3 linked regions of the Bombyx mori genome follow. The protein of the gene in region 1 interacts with the protein of each later gene in a pairwise test. Links are inferred from orthologs where the notes say so. Each region holds a gene or a part of one and is shown in the gene's direction. Other genes may lie near its edges.

The links.
Region 2: the proteins of Ubx (region 1) and uncharacterized protein LOC101741377 interact in a two-hybrid assay, tested with the Drosophila melanogaster proteins (2 studies listed by BioGRID). The link is inferred for Bombyx mori from reciprocal best matches to the Drosophila melanogaster genes Ubx and DIP1.
Region 3: the proteins of Ubx (region 1) and suppressor of hairless protein interact in a protein complementation assay, tested with the Drosophila melanogaster proteins (2 studies listed by BioGRID). The link is inferred for Bombyx mori from reciprocal best matches to the Drosophila melanogaster genes Ubx and Su(H).

Annotation. Positions count from the first base shown.
Region 1 is NC_085112.1:6,103,116-6,109,806, reverse strand, and holds the start of Ubx (ultrabithorax), read left to right. Parts: upstream 1-3,025; coding exon 3,026-3,488; intron 3,489-6,691. UniProt on the Drosophila melanogaster protein: Sequence-specific transcription factor which is part of a developmental regulatory system that provides cells with specific positional identities on the anterior-posterior axis. Binds the consensus region 5'-TTAAT[GT][GA]-3'.
Region 2 is NC_085114.1:16,022,397-16,029,087, forward strand, and holds the start of uncharacterized protein LOC101741377, read left to right. Parts: upstream 1-2,952; 5' UTR 2,953-3,096; coding exon 3,097-3,130; exon of another isoform or gene 3,131-3,163; coding exon 3,164-3,187; exon of another isoform or gene 3,188-3,191; intron 3,192-3,264; exon of another isoform or gene 3,265-3,516; intron 3,517-4,167; coding exon 4,168-4,226; intron 4,227-6,691. Other genes in the region: protein deltex, read right to left, coding at 18-160, 1,252-1,450.
Region 3 is NC_085110.1:14,561,208-14,567,898, reverse strand, and holds the start of suppressor of hairless protein, read left to right. Parts: upstream 1-3,051; 5' UTR 3,052-3,243; coding exon 3,244-4,077; intron 4,078-4,291; coding exon 4,292-4,536; intron 4,537-5,662; coding exon 5,663-5,888; intron 5,889-6,691. Other genes in the region: DNA excision repair protein ERCC-5, read right to left, coding at 1-784, 940-1,132, 1,358-1,566, 1,956-2,131, 2,211-2,298. UniProt on the Drosophila melanogaster protein: Transcriptional regulator that plays a central role in Notch signaling, a signaling pathway involved in cell-cell communication that regulates a broad spectrum of cell-fate determinations.

The DNA of each region.
Region 1 (6,691 bases):
ACTGATTTTCTGACCGGAGAACATTCTAATTAAATGATAAAGCCGACGATTCTCGCTGTTTAAATACAAACAACTTACTTATTCTTAGGTACCATAAGCACTGGTCACCGACCTCGTCGCTTGCGACGAAGGGCTCGACGAGCGAATTAACCCATAGACATAGTCCACTGAGTTTCTCGCCGGATCTTCTCAGTGGGTCGCAGTTCCGATCCAGTAGTGGATTTTGCGAAGCACTGCTCTTGCTAGGCCAGTGTTAGCGACATTTCCGGTTTGAGCCCCGTCAGCTCACCTACATGTTAGGGTGAAGCTGAAATAGCCTCTCAAGGCTATCACCATAGGTAGGAAAAAAATACCTATTTTAAGTTTTATCATCAGATTAAAATAAGTCTTCTTTCATTCCGGAGGAGAGATATGTTGGAGGCTTATATGACAGTGATTACCGTCAATGACGTTCTAGTATAGAAAGTTCTAGTATATTTTTTTAAGATGAGACCGCTACCTATATTAATTACTCTGATGTGATTGCGTGCCGATGACAGTTCACTGCATAGTTTCTTAGTTTATTTAACAGTATTCAAATGTTTTTAGTTGTAAATTTTTGATATTCTGATGATGGGCATTTTTAACTAGATAATAGCAATCGTTAATACCCATTATAGCTATAATTGTCAACTAAACGATTGTTAAATTCAGGAGAACAGTTGGATATGTTTATTTTTATTTTTTATTATTATTTAGATGAGTGAACGAACTCACAGCCCCCTGGTATTAAGTGGTATGTGAACTTTAATAGGTTCGAGCTTGTAAATTACTAGACAATAATAACTTGCGTATTTTGGCTGCGAAACAGTACAGTAGAAATTTACACCGTATGTGTCAAGGTGGATGGTGCCATTGTACCAATTACTACCAGATGGACCATAAGCTCGTTCACGGGTTTGTGCGATAAAAAAACTAATTAATTTCTTACTGCATTGGAAGCCTTCAAACTAGAGCTATGTATATGCTCTCTTCTCTTCCTGAAGTTTTAGACGTATCTCAAATAAACTAGTACAGAGTTGTGTCTTAAAGATTCAGTAGGTACTAGTTTATTCGTCTTTAACGTAAATATAAGAGTTCAAGTAATATTTTAATAATCTTCACGAATTGTAGAGCCTAGTGAGCCCACACAGGTACGTAGCGCAAGTCTATCAAGTCCTGCGCTTTGGTTTGATTTAAAATTGCTGTTATTATACAATATAGTTGAGACACCGATCTCAAGGTGAATGACCGCTTTCGTGCTGTGATGACCATGGGCTCCAATGAGCAATGCAAAGTGAACGTGTCTGCCAATTTATAATACGATAAGTTAATAATATAAATAGATAATTATCATTTATGCTTTTAAAACACTTGTCACAATCGTTTTGTGTTATGCGAGTTTTGGATGTAGGTACCCATGGGCAATCTTGTGTTGTTCCATTAATATATAATTCAATTCTAATTTATTAATATTTTTCTTAATTTCTAGTTTGGTGTCGTGATTTGGTTCTGGTTCAATAAGTTATTTTGCAAGTTAACGAAAACCTGAAATAAGGTAAGTTTTAAAAAATCATAAAAAATTTAAGTATATTTAATTCATGAAACGTAAACCACCATTATCTATTAATTAAAATAAAAGTGTTAAACTTGTCATTTTACATATATCATTTTTAATAAATAAATAAAAAAACGTCTCAATACCCGGATCTAAAGGAAATATTTACATACGAAGGCGCAATAAAAATGCGTTCAATTCTTAAGGGTAGGGCGCACCATTCATTCGTTTGACGACTTCATTTGGTCGCGCGAAGTGAACTCGCGATAATGCGCTATTGTTTACCCTCCGATAGTGCGTTGTCCACTGCATGCGCTACACAGCGCGAGACCAAGACCGCTATACACTAATCAGCCCCGCTCGGATGATAACCGTTCCGCGCTCGACGCGCTGTCCCTTTCGCTCTCGAACGGGCGCCTTAAGCAAGAGAGCAATAGAAACATCACTCGTAAAAACAGGTAGTAGAAGAAATAATAATCATCTTTACGACTTCTCACTCTATTCAGCACCTTGTTACGATACTGAACGCTCATTGTGGCACGGTCGACGAGTGGCTGTAAAATCTTTTCTTTACTCGCCCGTTTCACTAATTGTACGTTTATGAGTTTACGACTTTTGCGGCTTAACTTTTTCGTTCTATTCATTTTTGAGGCTTTTGTTGAGGCTCTTCAAAAGTTTTGTTACGCGGTCGTCCGAAGATACATAAATTGTTAAAAGAAAACATATAGTTTATAATAGGATTTGATGTTATTGAGTTCTCTCTTAAGTCATATAAATGTCAGTTATTAACCTAGGTATTCTGAAGTAGAGCAGCTAAAGTTCTAGTTTGTTTGACGAACGTTCGCCACGTGCTCGAGTGGGTGTGATAAGGAAAGGAAAAGAGAGCGTAACTGATAATATTTATAGTGATTAGCGAAAAGGGGACGGAACAATAGTCGTTGGGCTGCGATGGTAGCAGTGAGCGCGGGGCGGCGCGCGTGTCTCAGCCGCGCTCAGTACATTGCGTGAGCCGCGTCGCGCCGGTCGCACACGACACACAGCCGCGCGCTCCCGCCACACGCGACGGAAAACTTCGCTCGCGACACAAGCCTCCGGCCCATACACCACCACGATCACTTCTGATTTCATACAGTGGAGACGCGCTCTCGGCTGACGTCCTGAGACGAGCCGGCGCCGCAGACGAAACCGCTTAAAAAGTCGTAAAACCCGCGGCACGCGCTCCCGAGTCGTAAAATAATCGTAAAAAGTAAACACACGTCAACTGGCCTTTATCGCCGACGAAGCCCATTATGACGCTTTAGTGACGTTTAAGAGGCAATAAAATTAATAAAAATAAATTACGTTGTCCGTATTTGGTGTGACATTGGCGGAGGTCGCGTTATCACGGCGCGCGGGGCCGCGATGACATAAGTGTTCCCTGAGTGACGTTAGTGCCTGTGACTGGTCACGATGAACTCTTACTTCGAGCAGGGTGGTTTTTACGGGGCCCATGGAGTGCACCAGGGCGGCGGTGGTGGAGACCAGTACCGCGGCTTCCCTCTGGGCCTCACGTATGCACAGCCACACGCTTTGCACCAGCCTCGTCCTCAGGATTCACCGTACGACGCGTCTGTCGCGGCGGCCTGCAAGCTCTATGCTGGAGAGCAGCAATATCCTAAAGCAGATTGTTCAAAGCCAGGCGGTGAGCAGCAGAATGGCTATGGTGGGAAAGAAGCCTGGGGCTCAGGTCTGGGAGCACTAGTGAGGCCGGCAGCATGCACTCCTGAAGCTCGATACAGTGAGTCGTCAAGTCCTGGTAGAGCGCTTCCGTGGGGCAACCAGTGTGCACTTCCGGGATCAGCAGCATCAGCCGCGCAGCCAGTGCACCAGCAGCCTACTAACCACACTTTCTACCCTTGGATGGCCATAGCAGGTTAGTAAGTTAAAAAAAATTATCTCGATCACAACTCTATATAAATTGAATATGCAATTTCGAAAAGGGCACACCTCTGAAAATGTAAAATGTTCAGGAAATGAAAAAAAACTGATTATTTTCTAAAGCAGTGTAAAATTTAAAATATTAACTTTTGAAATATATTTTAAGTGTTAATTAGCAATTGAAAATTACGGGAATTATTATAAAATGGGTGTAGGTAAGCCTCAAAACTACATGTATATGAAAAAACGTATTTGACAAAATATGCGACATGTGCCCTTTTCGAAATTGCATATTCGATTGAAGTGTATTATTGCGATCGTAGGTGCAGTTTTTTTTTTGATAAAATTAATTGCCGAAGTCTCTACCTATTAATATTGTATATTACATATTTGTTTACAAATATCACTGAAATTTATGATTCTATATTTAAAAATATATTGCGTTTCCCATAAAAAACTCGTCAACATTTAATATACATAAGTGGAAATGAGAGGCGTAACAAAAATATGTCACGTCCGATACCCCGTAAAAATCACTAAAATGCTGCCATCCTGTTTGGCACACATAATCGGGCCACTTCAGAATCGTCCATTAATGTTTCCTAAGAGTCCAATACTAACCGGCAGGTAGCCGACAAATCAAGTGTCAATAAAAAGCACATAAAACGAACGACCCTCGTTAACACCTTATTAGTGAGACAGATTTGAGTACCATTAATAATTTTATTGCGGACAAAACTCAGGATCCTCCAAATTACTAATTTGTAACGATAAATTGATATCAGTGATTTGATCATAAAATCTTTGGTGTAGACTTCCTGAATGTTGATGGTTCGTAGCAACGGAACTGGTATATAAATTATAGAGCTATGGAACTGGATTATTTGAAATAAAGTTCTCGTGTCTTAAAATTTTTTTTGGAACAAAACTAACAAGGTTTGTGAATTAAAATACGATTTAATCTTGGACTGGACTATACGGAGATTTAGCAGAACATATTATACCTACTTTTTTTACCGGACGACAAAACACTAAAATATTTCGAGAGAATGTAAAATAAAGAGACAAATATGTTGTCGATATTTACTTGTGTTCTCTTTTCTGACCCATAACAATTTAAATTAATTTTATAAATACATTAATAAAGCTAAGAAATAAAATAAAATAAAAGTTATTTATTATTAAAAGTTGTATATTTATTTTATTACTATCTAAAAATAAATAAAACGTTTAACAATCCTTCAATACTTAACACATACTTTAAGATGAAATTTTTCAGGTTCAAAATTGATTGTGTAGGCATAAAGTAAAGCAAAAAGCGCTATTTTAGTGGCCCAACGAGGCAGGAGAGGTGCGCCCGCGCCGCCCGCCCGGGTCAATGGCCCGGTCTAGTTTTGGGCGCATTATTATTAACTTACTGCCACTGACCATTCGACAAATGACCATCCCATTAAGAGCGCTTCAATCTTCAAACATACGTTTCGGTAAACATTCAATTCATGCACTTAAAAGATAAAATAACGCTTTAAAAATGTTTTACAAAATATCTAATACGGCATATTAGTTGGTATAGATTAGAATTTAAGTCTTATAAGAATCGATTCTCTCTCATTCGTAGTAGTTTTTCTGGAAAAGAAGTCCTATTCGAATTTCGATTGAATCGATTAGTTCACCTGGGCCGGCGACGAGTAATTAATGCTACGCGTGTGGTCCCGCCTCGTCATAATTCATGCGACTTGATAAAAATTAAGTAACAGGGCCTAAAAAATAACAAAATAAAATGAGAAGTCGAACCGTCGGCTATAATTCACTGTGGGTTCACGCAACACAGGCCGCGAAACAATACAAGGACGCTTGTTGGACGTGGCATGTATGAAAAGTTCGGGCTTGTCCATGAACGGTCCCTGCTGTTCATTTGGACAGTTTGCTAATTTGTAATACCTGTAAAGTAAACCTTTTTTGGTATAAATACCTAAAACATAGGTAATTTGGTATAAATTCCTATAAATATAGAAAGAAAAAAAAATTGTGGAGCTGTAAATGTAACTAATTTAGTGAAGCAAACGATAAATACGGTATAAGTTGAAGCTCGAAATTGCAATCACATGCTCCCGATCTTACTGCTATATAATTGAGGACTTAAATTACAGGGCCGTGGACTTCTTTTTTTTAAATTTGTTACAAGCGGTTTTTAAATGGAACAAAATAAAAACAAGAAAAATTATTTGGTGGAATAATTTTCATTTTCAATCATACGACAATTATTATGACCCTTCAAACAGCGACTTGAATCTTTCTCTTCTTACTTGGTGCACATTCGTTCTGTAGAGGCTTTTACACATTCCGATTCTTCAAAACTTGATATTGAAAAATATCAATTACATATAGCAGATTATTTTACCTTATTACTGTACAAAAACAGAAATACTGTCAAAATTCCTAGTACATATTTAACCCACATATAGAGAAATCAGTAGGACAATGTAAAAAAAAACTCTTTCAATAGCTATGAGTACATGCTATCTTGTAACTTTTTTTTTATTGCTTATATGTGTGGACGAGCTCACAGCCCACCTGGTGTTAAGTGGTTACTGGAGCCCATAGAAATCTACAACGTAAATGCGCCACACACCTTGAGATATAGTTCTAAGGTCTCAGTATAGTCACAACGGCTGCCCCACCCTTCAAACCGAAACGCATTACTGCTTCACGGCAGAAATAGGAGGGGCGGTGGTACCTACCCGTGCGGACTCACAAGAGGTCCTACCACCAGTAATTACGCAAATTATAATTTTGCGGGACTGTATAAATCTAGTTAATCAGTGGTATATTTATATTTTATTTTCCTATTTAACTATCCACGTAATTTCTGTCTTTGGTACTTTTGGTATAAATTAGGAACCAAGAGGAACTAGACGGTACTGTACTATCGAGCGTAATAGTCAGGCATTCTGATTTGAAGGGTGAGGTTGTATAATACAAAGGAGATTTCAACCTCATACCTCAAGGTAGGTGTTGGCGTTCAGGTTGTGATTTCTATGGATTTTGGTAATCATTTAATGCGATATGGGCTACAAACTAAACTACATACTCTTTGCAATAAAAATAGGGGTCAGGTAATCGTGGCATAGCATACTAAACCACACAAGCGGGTATCAATGTTCTTTCTGTTTCTGCCAAGAAGCACTCATGCGTTTC
Region 2 (6,691 bases), on another chromosome or scaffold:
AATTTGTTTATATTTACATCAAGCGGCAGAGGGTCATAGAGTAGCTCTCCAGCGCCAGGAGGAGGCATAAACCGAGCCCATTCCCAGCACCAGCCCCGTCCGGCTACGGACTGCACACTGTAGCATGATCTACGCACACCACACTCTAATATTCCACCATCTATAATCAAAATGTTTTCTTTAAATACAAATTATAAATTGGGCTATTCAGGTTGTCATTTGGGATAGCTCAGTGACCAATTAAGTCCCAATCACTGGACTAATTTCTACAATCCTTAATGACCGGTAATTTTTCATTTACACAAGTAGTAGTAAGTAAGTTCCGGTAGTTTTCACAAGTTCTAGACCTTATAAAAATGACTTTTACGATTTAATCTCACATTTATTATTTTAATTTTATTGTTTTCAACATTTTGAATAATTTAAGTAGTTTAGTAGTTAAGTAGTTATCATGGATATCAAAACTTGAATAAAACAACCAACTATTGTTTCCTAACTATCATTTGACGCAATGTACGTATCTACTCCAACTGGGGTTTGATTTCTACTAAATAAATAAGTACCACGACAGACGGAAGTGTGTGCTTGTGTCACATATGCTATGTTTCTTGTAACTTCTGAAAGCATTCGAAAGTTGTTGAAATTATTAAATTAAATAGATTTTTAGCATTTCATGAGTACATCTTGGTTTACAGGCATAAATATTTGTAAATTAAAAGTTAGTGACCTTGACCTAGAAGATACAGATTGTTTATCAAATAGGGCCTAATAAAAACCACGAGGACAGTACCTATTTGGTAGAGAAAAATATTTTAATATGTTTACTTCTGACAGAAATTCACATCTTTTGATATGTAATCAGCCTTATTATTTAATAGAATTCATATTACAGTCCCTTCTCTAAAATATAATTAAAGGGTCTCCAGGTAATTTCTTTTTTCTTAATGTTTAAGTGCTTTTTATTCCAAAAATATTTACTTGAAAACATATTTTTATATCAAAATGGTTATTCTAATTGAACGCTAACTAAAATTTTCAGCTTAATATAACCTTAATAGCACCTGTATAAGTGTATGCATGGCATACTCCTATAAATAATTTGTTATTAATCGGTACTCATGGCTAGAAGTTTAATTGTACTGTTATTATGTTATGTTATTAGTGTTTTGGGTGTTTAGCAGAGTCAGTCACAGTAAAGGAATAAATAATATAATAGCAATTGAACTCAGGTTTATGTAAATGTGTAATTACCAGGCGTCTCATTACTCTGTGTCAGGGTCAGCAAGTTAACATAATATCCCTTCAATGCTGGATCAGCATCAGCCAATACCACCCTGGTTAACTTCTTAGCATGAGCCCTTTCTAGGGTCCTTGTAACACTTGGCGTGTGTGGTAACCATTGACCATTTGACTGCCACTCCCATACTACAACGCAGTGGACTGAAGACATTGTTCATTCCATGTTGACTAGAAATCCAAAAAAATAATTTTATAAAACTGAACCAAAAGCAAAATCAATGTATATAATTAAATATAATTGTTAAATATAAAAACCCCATTCCAATCAATTAACAATTTAACATACAAATATTGATTAGTTATGAATATAGTTAGCTGATTACTGTCATTAGATCAAACAAGTTTCGTACCTAAGAAGGAAACAGTATCATATGTACTATATGAGTCGACTATTATCAAAGGTGGCAATCTGACTTTTGGACAATGATTGGTAAATCAGAAAAACGAATTATTGACTTTGTATTCCATTGGCAGTCACAAAACTCTTCGGAACGACATCTTAGATAAATAACAGGTTAACTATTAACCTTTATTTAATGCAGGTTTTGAACCGTATTCTTTGAAGGAGACGATTATATTCAAATAAATCTGTATTGACATATCAATAAAAATTTTTTGTCCAAATGTACAGATTGCCGCCTTTGATAATAGACGACTCATATAGTCTTTTAAATATTTTAAATGATACAATAAAATAGTCAAAATGGCATGTTAATACCATGAGTGCATATGAAGACACTACTAGAGAAGTTAAAGTTCTGGAATGATATTCCTTCATTAAGAAGTTGTTCGTGAACATGCATTAAGTATTTCCTTATAATAATTGGTACTGGTGTAAAAATACATTAGGCAGTTCATTTATTACGCGACGAAGACTTCATGTATGCAGTTGGATTATTTATTGTATTCCAATAAATTTTGCTTTAAAATTATGTTGATAAACAATTTAATACACTTTCTTACTGAAAAATATTACAATATTTTATACTTACAGGTCCAGTTCCACATTTGAAAATTATGATCTCAATAGAGCAATAAATTCAAAATTAAGATAACGAAGAAAGCTACAGGAATGCTAAACCAATTTGTTTGTTTGTTTCACAATCGCTACTGGTCATTTTCTATTCATATTTCTCAAACATACCCAAATTCATTTACATCAAAATTGCTTTTAAAGTGATACTAAATGTTGAATTGAGTGTACTATTTCCTGAATTAAGTAACATTTTTGTTCTAAGTCACTAATTTTAAAGATTAAATAAAATCGTTGCAATTCTGTACCTATGTACCAGTTTCAACATAGCTTCATAGCCCTGACGCTGTCGAATACTGTCAATGATTTGACAGTCTTGTATATTTCAAAAGCCGAAGGAGTATTCGTGCTAGCGTTAGTGTTAATGTCCGAGATTCTCTCGAGCCCGTGAGTGTGCTCAACCTATCCCTATTCCAATAACCTATGGCTATTCCAATAACGTTATGACGATTGGTGAGCCCCGTTGGCCTACCCAAAGCTGTTGAAAGCCCACGGTTTTTTCATACCTAATTGCTTAGGTAGGGAAAAAAGTCTGAAAACGAAAATAGTAAATTGAAGTTGTCACAGCCAGAGTCTTGACCGTATGAGCGAAGTTTCTTTTGCATCTTTAATTGAACCACCAAATTAAAATAAAGCATCGATCAATTTTAATCAAATATGTGCAGAATCTGCAGAATCCAAGTCACATTTTAATGTTTTAAAAAGTACCTGCATCGAAGTTCGTTCGTACCTGCATCGAATTGCAGATACACAAACATTGATACATGCATACTATTGAAAAAAAATCACACATATCTCGCAATGAAGTAGGAAACCTAATAGGTCTATGATATCTCGTTATGGCGTTTTTACAACGTAAGTAGGTAGATCAGATATTTTTGTTGACAGTATGAATAACACATTTCATTTTAAATCGTACACAGCTATTAAGACGAAATTACAATTGACAAAATGACATTATGATAACAACATACTTTATCTCATTACATTGAGTAATTTACGTGAACTTAACTTTCTAATTAATCATTTACTCATCGATAATTTACTGGTCCTTTGTACATTAGTGTCCAACGCGAATTAATGCGATATTTATGACCAGAACGAGTGGCGTGAGACGAGCTTCCGAAGCTTTATGAAACCGCTCGAAACTTATGATTGATTCCATTCGAGTGAGCTGCTTAGAGGTTACCAAATAGTGATCAAATCTCTTGTCTGTAAATTACTTTGATGATCATCCAAACTAACAATGGACCACTATAAAATGAAAAATGAGAAATATAATGATCTTAAGGTCTACTTGTCACACTTGATGCTTTTCATTTCTTTTAAGTAACACTGATTTGCAAAATGTTGTATAATAGGACAACAAAATGTTGTACAAATATTAAATCTGGTCATTAAATGGATTGTTCAAACTGAGTGATATAAAATTATGAATACCATTGTTGACATTATGTTTGTTGGAAAAGTCATATTATTAACAATGTATAATAATATAATATAATAATATAGGTGTTACTTGCCTGGAGATATGTCAAAAAATGTGTTGTTTACATGAGCACCAGGCTCATCACAAACCAGGAGAAGTGGGGATTGCTCATGAGGTGCATAACATCTGCTCACAGCAATGATACTGAATGACTATCACAACTGCTCTGACAAGAGTGATATGACAAGGAATAGGAATACATTACATAATGTGAAAAAGTCTACACAATTAATTTTAAGAATTGATTATAAATGTTAAAAAAACACAAAAACTAAGAACTACAGTGTAAAATTACCTATTTATATATCCTTAAAAAATGTGTTGAATTTTCTATTTATTTCTACAGACAAGGGTCGGGCCGCCAATCATTTCAACCTCGAGATGGATTCTGCAGTATCTGATGAGGTAAATCTAGAAAATATGACTCAGAATATTAGATCTCATAATTTATGTTATTGCTTACGGTGCAAAATAAGAGCTATGTTAGAAGCTATAGTATTGTCTAGGACACCACCAGAGTATTATTACCTTACCTTATAGTTACTTTCATAATGAAATAACTATCAATGAAAAAATGAAAAAGTCTTGACAAGAAGCAGGAAAGAATAATGAAAGTTTGTGATTACATACTGTGAAAGAAGTTTGAATCATTGTTAATAAGAATTAAACTTTTTTTTTTGGTTTCATACTGATATCCAGAGATTATTATCAGTGATGTGTATAGGTTACCTGTAACATATAATCATAGAATGTATGATGTATGATGATGAAAATTGGCAAGTCATAACAATTTAAACTTTACTTGCAACCACTCCAACAAAATGACACATATTTAATATAAGTTTTGCCAAATTTCATCTGGAAATTAGTGAACGATATAAATAGGCTTGTATAGGAGTAAACAAAGAAGGGTTAAAACACTTCTTTGTTTGAAAAAAATCTATATTTTTTTTCATGTCTTTTTATGATCAAGTAAGTTAATTATAACAAGATGCTATCATAGGTCAATTAAAATTAAAATAATTTGAAAAATATAATGCTTTACATTACAAAAGAAAATATTTTTTATTAAAAATAAAATGTTGACTAAGGGACATTTTTTAAATGTTCGTATTAATCATTTAACATATATACATATTACAGTAATACCCATCTAAAACCCTTTTTCTCTATATATTATATACTACATAAGATTTTGAACAAAAACAATGCTAAACATTAAGTGACAAAATAATTTATTACTACAGCTTCATGTGTGGTGAGTTCTACTGAAGATATGAAGGCAATGGTTGCTCTCTGATTGTGCGGGGGTTAATTGTACAACATGTTGTTAATAATGTACATATTATGTACTTGTTAACGACATGGCTGAACTGGACAGTTGTGTTATTGCTTCAGTAAAATTAAGAATTTATTTCAGTACACAGTAGCAGTTTGAAGCATTTTTACATAGCGGTTGTGTATGTCATAATGCGTATATCAACCCGAAACTTGACTATCTTCTATCTTCTTCTTCTATCTATATGATATGAAGATCATATGAGGCCTATAAAATCAAAGGCAGCTAAACGCCTTAATTTCGTAAAATTGATTAACAATAGCGCTATCTTGCTTAGTTAGTTGGACACGCTTTAGTGTTTTCATGTTATAACAAATGCAGCTAAATCTCTAACAAATTCAGTTCAAAAAATTTATTTTTACTCCGTACTAAGTACTAATAAACGAAGATTTATCATTTAAAATTCAGATTATTAGTAATATTCTCATTCTTTATACATCTGCTTTAAAATAAAGAATATCGTAGCTATCCGAACACAGTTATTTCAGCTTCTCAAACCGGGAGTGTTTCTAACACTTGTCCTAGCAAGAGCAGTACTTCGATGGATCGGGAGGATCCGTAAAGACGTGTTTAGGGCTGATTTTTGTAGTTTACCTGAATATTTGACAGACTTGGATTTAGCTGCCTTTGATTTTATAGGCCTCATATAAAAAGGAATTGGTGTTCGTTAGTCTCGCTAAAACTCGAGAACGGCTGGACCGATTTGGCTAATTTTGGTCTTGAATTATTTGTGGAAGTCCAGAGAAGGTTATAGGTGGATAACAAGGAAAATGCTCAGAATTAAATAAAAATAATAATTTTGATTTCCCCTTCCTTTTGTTTGTTTTAAGTTTATTTTATACAAAAGTTTAGGTCTTTTATTTATCGATTGAGGCACTACGAAGTCTGCCGGGTCAGCTATCAATAATATATATCACGTTAAAATGTAAAAAAAACTTAGTTATAATTAATAAATGCTACAACGGAACTTCATACAAAAACTAATATATTTATTGTTTCAACTGTTTGATGACAGCCCTAAATATAAGCAATAAAAGTACCGTTAGGCCGTTCATTCAGCTCAATGCCTCAGAACGAGGACAAATTCGTTTAACACATAAGAAACAACGAATACGAAAAAAAAAAAGTGTGGTGTCGTGGGACACCGGATAGGAACGAAGTTCCTTATTATAAAAATATTAATTTTAAATACAATTAGAGGTACAAAGAAAATAAAACTGGAGGTTTCGCAACAACCCATGGGTCATTCGGTAGCGTGCGAACTTTTTGTGGTACACTTCATTCACGGTTGTTTGCATAAGAGTTAGTGTATTGCACAAACGAACGCTCTGAGATCGTGGTCAATGAATGAAAAAAATTATGTTATTTTTTGTACGTTATTACAAAGTTAAGTCGTACATTGTGTGCATTACTAATTTGTACGTCATTACAAAGTCAGTCGTACACTGTGTGCATTACTAATAAAGATCTTACGTTACGGACGATTACCGGCGTCGGAGGAGTGTATGTGTGTTTCAATTAGCTGAAATCA
Region 3 (6,691 bases), on another chromosome or scaffold:
CAGCAGCCTCTACTTTATGATTTTGTTTTAATTCTACACTGAATGCTTCTACTGCAGGCTCTTTGTCTTTTTGCACAGGAACAGTTTCAGCACAATCTGAAGTAAGGTCAATATCTTGAACTTTATTGTCTTCTTCAGATGATATTTCTAATTTACTTTCAATTAATGCTTTCTCTCTATTTATTTCTTCTAATATTTCATCTAATTTGGAAGCATGAGCTTTATTTTTATTATTACTTTTTTCTGAAACAAGTTTTTCAATAGCAATATTAGTGAAATCACTATACTGCATGATATAAGCTTTTGCTGTTGACATATCTGGTACTTCATATTCATCTTCAGAGTCTGAATAATCTGTATCAGTTAAACAGGATGTCCAAGAATCATCAGTCTTCGAATTATAAGTAGCTGTGTCAGTTTCACTTACACATTCCATAGACATTTTAATGGCCATCTCTAAATCACATTCAAGTTCATCTTTAACTGGTGACTTTTCTTTTTCAATATTTATTTCTTCTACCCTATTACTCGTGCTTGCTTGATCTTTGGCGTCGTTTCTTTGCTTAGCTTCAGCTAAAGCTTGCTTTATGTTATTTATAAGTAAGAATCTTGTATTATCATTGGACGCTATTCTTTTTGTCGGTAATGTATCAACATTAGTATCAATACCTTCCTCGTTAAGTAGTGATTCTAAATCTTTTAATGACATTCCTGTAACACCCATTTCTTTCTCAGTTTCTTCAAAACATTCCTGTAGTTTCCTTCGTTTTAACAATCTTTGCATCTAAGTGAAAGAAAAGAATCAAATATGTTAGTTATTGGGACAAAAAAGTAATTTAGAAAAAGTAGTAGTTTTTGTCTCATGTATGTTTCACACACATGAAAAATTCTTGCTTGAGGCCATTGAATGTAGAACTTTCTTTCAGCTACTTTACTTACCTGGAAATCAGAAAAACTGTCACTTTTCTTTGGTAATTCATGTAATCTTCCCCAAGAATTCATTTTTCTTGTTTCTTTTAACTCTACAAGTAGATCATACTTCTCTTTAAGAGGCATGTTTTTGAAATGTTCAGAGTTTAGATCCATTGAATGTAGATCAACAGAGGAGCCACTTGAACTTTCTTCCTCAGAACTACAATGTAAATTTTAATCATATAAGTATTATTAGTACTTAAAATTGAAACCTGAAAACACTGAAATGGAAATAATAAATTAGTGATAGAAATGATAGAGATATATCTAAGAAATTTGAAGAAAATCACAGTAATTTAATTTTTTTTTATAAAACATAAAAATTTTAAAAAATCATCAAAAATTTGAAATGTAACAATGTAATTGGTTATTTCATTTTACATACTCTGATTCACTCTCCTGGTTCTTCTTCGGGAGTTCTGGCAATTTGAATATATTATCTTCATTTTCAGTTTGAGCTACATTCTTTTTTGGTGAAATCTGCTTTCCAAGCAAACTGTTGATAGCAGTTTTTTTGCTTAAAAGAAGAGCTAATTCTCTCTTTATTCTTTCAGATTCTGAATTATATTTCGCCTTGTGATCTTGTCTTTTAGACTAAAAATAAATTATTTGATAATAGTTTAATGGTGGTTTAGTTAGAAAGTAAATTCTTTCTCAGCATTATTATTTTAACATGATAAAGGCTTATATTATAGAAGGATGCAATTGTTATTGATGCATTATTATTCAAATTTATGAAAATAGCTACTACTACTATATTACTATTCTCTGTCAACTGCCCTTAGTAAAAGTAGTAATATTAAGCTACACTTCCTACTTGTTTCTATTATAATTAAACAGATATATTTCAGGTCTACTTTTGCTAAAGGGATAAACAAGACAATACAGGAAAAAAGAAGTAAGCTACATGTACTGAAACACGTTTAAGCATCTTACTTCTGAGCAGTAATGTTATTCTAAAAAAAGCTTAAAACATAACTAACAATTGTTTCTTTCTTCAAGTCTGGAAAGCCACCATCAAAGACGAAAATTGGTTTTATCCTGAAGTAGAGAAGTTTGCAAAGCCGTTGGAACAAGCCCATCAAGTGAGCATTTGCTAAAGGGGCTCCTTTGGCATCTTGGTAACCTTTCACCATCTGGTGCAACCATATTGAGATGTCTGAGAAACATTAGTTCATACATTACAATTGTATTTTTAAATGCCATTATGTGTTTGTAATAATTTTATAAGGCCTTACCAACAGCTAAAACCTTATTTTCCAACGTTTCTACTGGAACTGGCTTTCCTGTCGGTTCAATCAACCGCCACAATCCAGTGACTCCCATCGTTACCGATAAGAGTAGCTCCGACCGAACTTTTTTTGTTTACACTAATGTATATAAATATAAATCAGAGTACATAACAAAGGTCGTTTCCCACGGGTTCTTCGGTCAATCGTCGCTCTCTTCCTCACACATTGTAACTTTTCAACATATGAATCACTGTTTACTACACACACTATCAAATGAAACTATAATTTGAGTTAGTGGAGACTGGGTGTTTTACTAGTTACTACACACGCTGCGACCGCCGACCGCCTACTCTTTCCCACACATTATTTTCTCACGCCCCACGCGGCGTAACCCCACATCCTACTACGACCGTCGGCGGCTTTCAGTCAGCTTCGTCAGTCGGTCTGCTTCGCATTCGAGGATTTCATTGTTGTTTCGCACGCGTAGATGTAAATTATTGGAAAGCAAATTGCTTGCACTTCAGATTGCTTAAACGGTGTCTATGTCAATCTATCTATGGTCAGATTTGACAGATTGGTATTTGGCGTTGTCGGACGTAAACTTGAGAAATAAACAGAAGTTTGATAAAATCGTACATTTATCAAGAAAGCGGAACAAACGAAAATTTAAGCAAATACAAAAGTTCGCTAACAGTTTATCAAATTCTTTTCCTAAACTTGGAACCGGTAAATTTAGTGACTCGTCTGAAAATTCCAATGTTGAACAGGTGTTTTTGAATGAAACGTGTGCTAGTTCCCACCGTAATTAATTTTTAGTGGCGTGAATAATATAACAGAAAAAGGGATCGAGCGACTTCCCAATCGATTTACAAAAGTGCCTCTAATCAAGCATCCAGTGCGACTGCTGTAGTGTGCTACAGATCCTCTGTTATGGAGATGTAATCATGGTGCCTTGGAGAAGAGATCACTCCACATAGTTTTTCGAACAATGCCGTTGAAGATATGAGGGTAGGCTGATGGTGATTTAGCCGTGGCTAGCATGCCGCACCAGTACGGCGGCGGCGCGGGCGGTGCGTCGCCGCCAGCGCCGGTGGGCGCGTACCCTCGCTACGCCAGCGCAGCTGGTCCTGGCGCTGGCGCCTATCGTCCCGAAGAACGACGTCTCACCCGTGAGGCCATGGAGAGATATTTACGTGATCGCTCTGATATGGTAGTTGTAATTTTACATGCAAAAGTAGCACAGAAATCTTATGGAAATGAAAAACGTTTTTTTTGCCCGCCTCCATGTATATACCTCTTTGGTGATGGATGGCGCCTCCGGCGAGAACGCATGCTAAGAGAGGGAGAAACGGAACAGGCAGCTCAACTGTGTGCATTCATTGGGATTGGTAATTCAGACCAAGACATGCAACAATTGGATCTCAACAATGGTAAACAGTATTGTGCTGCAAAAACCTTGTACATATCTGATTCAGATAAACGAAAACACTTTATGCTATCTGTAAAAATGTTCTATGGAAATGGACATGATATTGGTATATTCAACAGTAAAAGAATTAAAGTAATTTCAAAGCCTTCCAAAAAGAAGCAGTCATTAAAAAATGCTGACTTATGTATAGCTAGTGGAACAAAGGTAGCTCTATTTAACAGACTAAGGTCACAGACAGTGTCAACCAGATATTTGCATGTGGAAAATGGTAATTTTCATGCATCATCTACCCAATGGGGGGCATTTACTATTCATCTACTGGATGATAATGAGAGTGAGTCTGAAGAGTTTGCAGTGAGAGATGGATATGTTCACTATGGATCTACAGTAAAACTAGTCTGTTCTGTGACTGGTATGGCTTTACCAAGGCTTATTATTAGAAAGGTGATTAAAGTTATAGTTTACCTGAATATTTGACAGACTTGGATTTAGCTGCCTTTGATTTTATAGGCCTCAATTATTCATTATGTAGAATTTTCACATCATTAAGGCTAATCACATCAAGTTAAATTTAATTTTCATTTTAAGAATATAGATTTTAACATTTAATAAATAGATAAAAAACATTTATAAATATAATAGCATATTTGATTTTTAGGTAGATAAACAAATGGCTTTACTAGAGGCTGATGATCCAGTATCGCAGCTACACAAATGTGCTTTTTATATGAAGGATACGGAGAGAATGTATCTATGCCTATCCCAGGAACGAATTATACAGTTCCAGGCAACTCCATGCCCTAAAGAACCCAATAAGGAAATGATAAATGATGGAGCTTGCTGGACCATAATTTCGACTGATAAGGCTGAATACCAATTTTATGAAGGAATGGGACCCGTTAGGTAATATTCCAAAACTATTTGAAATAGAATAGTATTTCATAAAACTAAAATACTTAGTTAAACTATTTGTTTATTAAAGAAGGACATATTTATTAACAATAAAGTTTTTGTTACACCATATTTTTGATAAAACACTATTTTATTGTTAAAAAAATTATTGCCACATTGTCATGACCTTGTTCTATTTAAAAGTTTTCAAAATTTAATCTAGCTAAATCTAACATTTGTTCTCATTTCAAGAGTTAAGATGACTCTTACTAAAACAATAAAAAACACAATCATCCTCAACCTCATTCATGGGTCACAGACTCACCCTCCAAACTTATGTCCTAAAGTATTTTCAAAAATTAAACTATTCAAACTATAAATATGTTTGTATAACATGCTACTACTATATTTGTTTTTCTCATGCACTGTGGCAGTTATCAAATGACCAACAAACTATATTGATAAATATAAATGCTCTTTATTGCTGGAACTTAATGTAAACATTTGATTCGAATATCAATACTGTTTTGTATTCATTAGGTTATTGATGCAATGCATTAGGTTGAAATGCAAGGAGTTTCCAATTATAAAAATATTTTTTTTAAATGATAACTATTTACTATACTATATGTAACTATACTTGAGACCTTAGAACTTATATCTCAAGGTGTGTGGTGCATTTACGTTGTAGATGTCTATGGGCTCCAGTATCCACTTAACACCAGGTGGGCTGTGAGCTCGTCCACACATACAGGCAATAAAAAAAAATAAAAAAAATGCCTTACTAAAACATTTTTATAAAAGCCAAAGATAATAAATGTTCTAAAAAAAATCCCTTTTTTATAAATACATATGTACATACAGACTTTCATTCGTTACATTTTATCAACTTCAATGAAAAAAAAATACATATACAAAAAATTATTTATTGGCTTTTAAAGGCTTATTTTATTTATCCAAATAATTATTGAAAAATCTGAGTAGTGTATGTTAAAAAAAAACGAATTTTTGTCTTTGTGAAAGCATAGTTAGGTATAGGTTAGGCATAGGTTTCTCTATAAAAAAGGATATAACTAGGACACACCTAAACTATGTATTTAACTTTCTATTTAAACTTACTAATATTCTTGCCTCATAGGTCACCAGTAACACCGGTACCCTTGGTGCACTCATTAAATCTCAACGGGGGTGGCGATGTTGCCATGTTAGAATTGGCTGGAGATAATTTCACACCTTCCCTACAAGTGTGGTTTGGTGATGTTGAAGCGGAAACAATGTACAGATGTGCTGAGTCCATGCTGTGCGTAGTTCCAGATATATCACAATTCAGAGGGCAGTGGCTGTGGGTCCGGCAGCCTACGCAGGTAGGTTTAAATGTAACTCAAAAATATTTCATGCATATGCTTTATCGTTTTTCTGTTATCTAACGTTGACTTGTGTGGTTCACAATAAAATTTCTTATTAATTTTAAACGATTTTATATTAATAATTGCAACAAATTTCAAATAATACAAACAAGAACATTAAAAAAAATTGTTTTTTCTCTGGGTATTTCTGAACACGTTTTTAACAACGCACACTGTGTTCAATGATTATCTAGATGCTTATTCTTATTTTTTGAAACAATTTGAATATAGATTTTTATTTATGTAGACGAAAAAAGACAAATCTTCCACCAAACCTACTTGTTAAAGCAAGCACACATCAGAACTATTTTGTGTTAAGTTAAAAGATAATTAGAGGAATAGAGACATAAAAACTATTTAAGGAATTGTATTTTCTTTGGTTTATTGACATAGTTAAAACTGCCTATATGGACCATCGGACGTGACCATATAAACTGTAAATTGTTTCAAACGTCGGAAATAATGTAACGATAACAATAGACGGGAGATTAAACCGCAAAAGTAGTTTGAATTATATTAGAGACTAGCGACCCGCCCTCGCTTCGCTTCGGAAACATTAAATTTTATTATTGATAGAAGAGTCCCGCCATGTTGCGCGCGGTACGACAATAACTGCGGGTGACCCCGCGAGGCGAAGCTAGTCTAAAAAAGTACCCTAAGTTACTTCTTATATCATTAGCTACCTATTAGTGAAAGTCTCATCAAAATCGGTCCAGCCGTTCCAGAGATTAGCCGGAACAAACAGACAGACAGACAAAAAT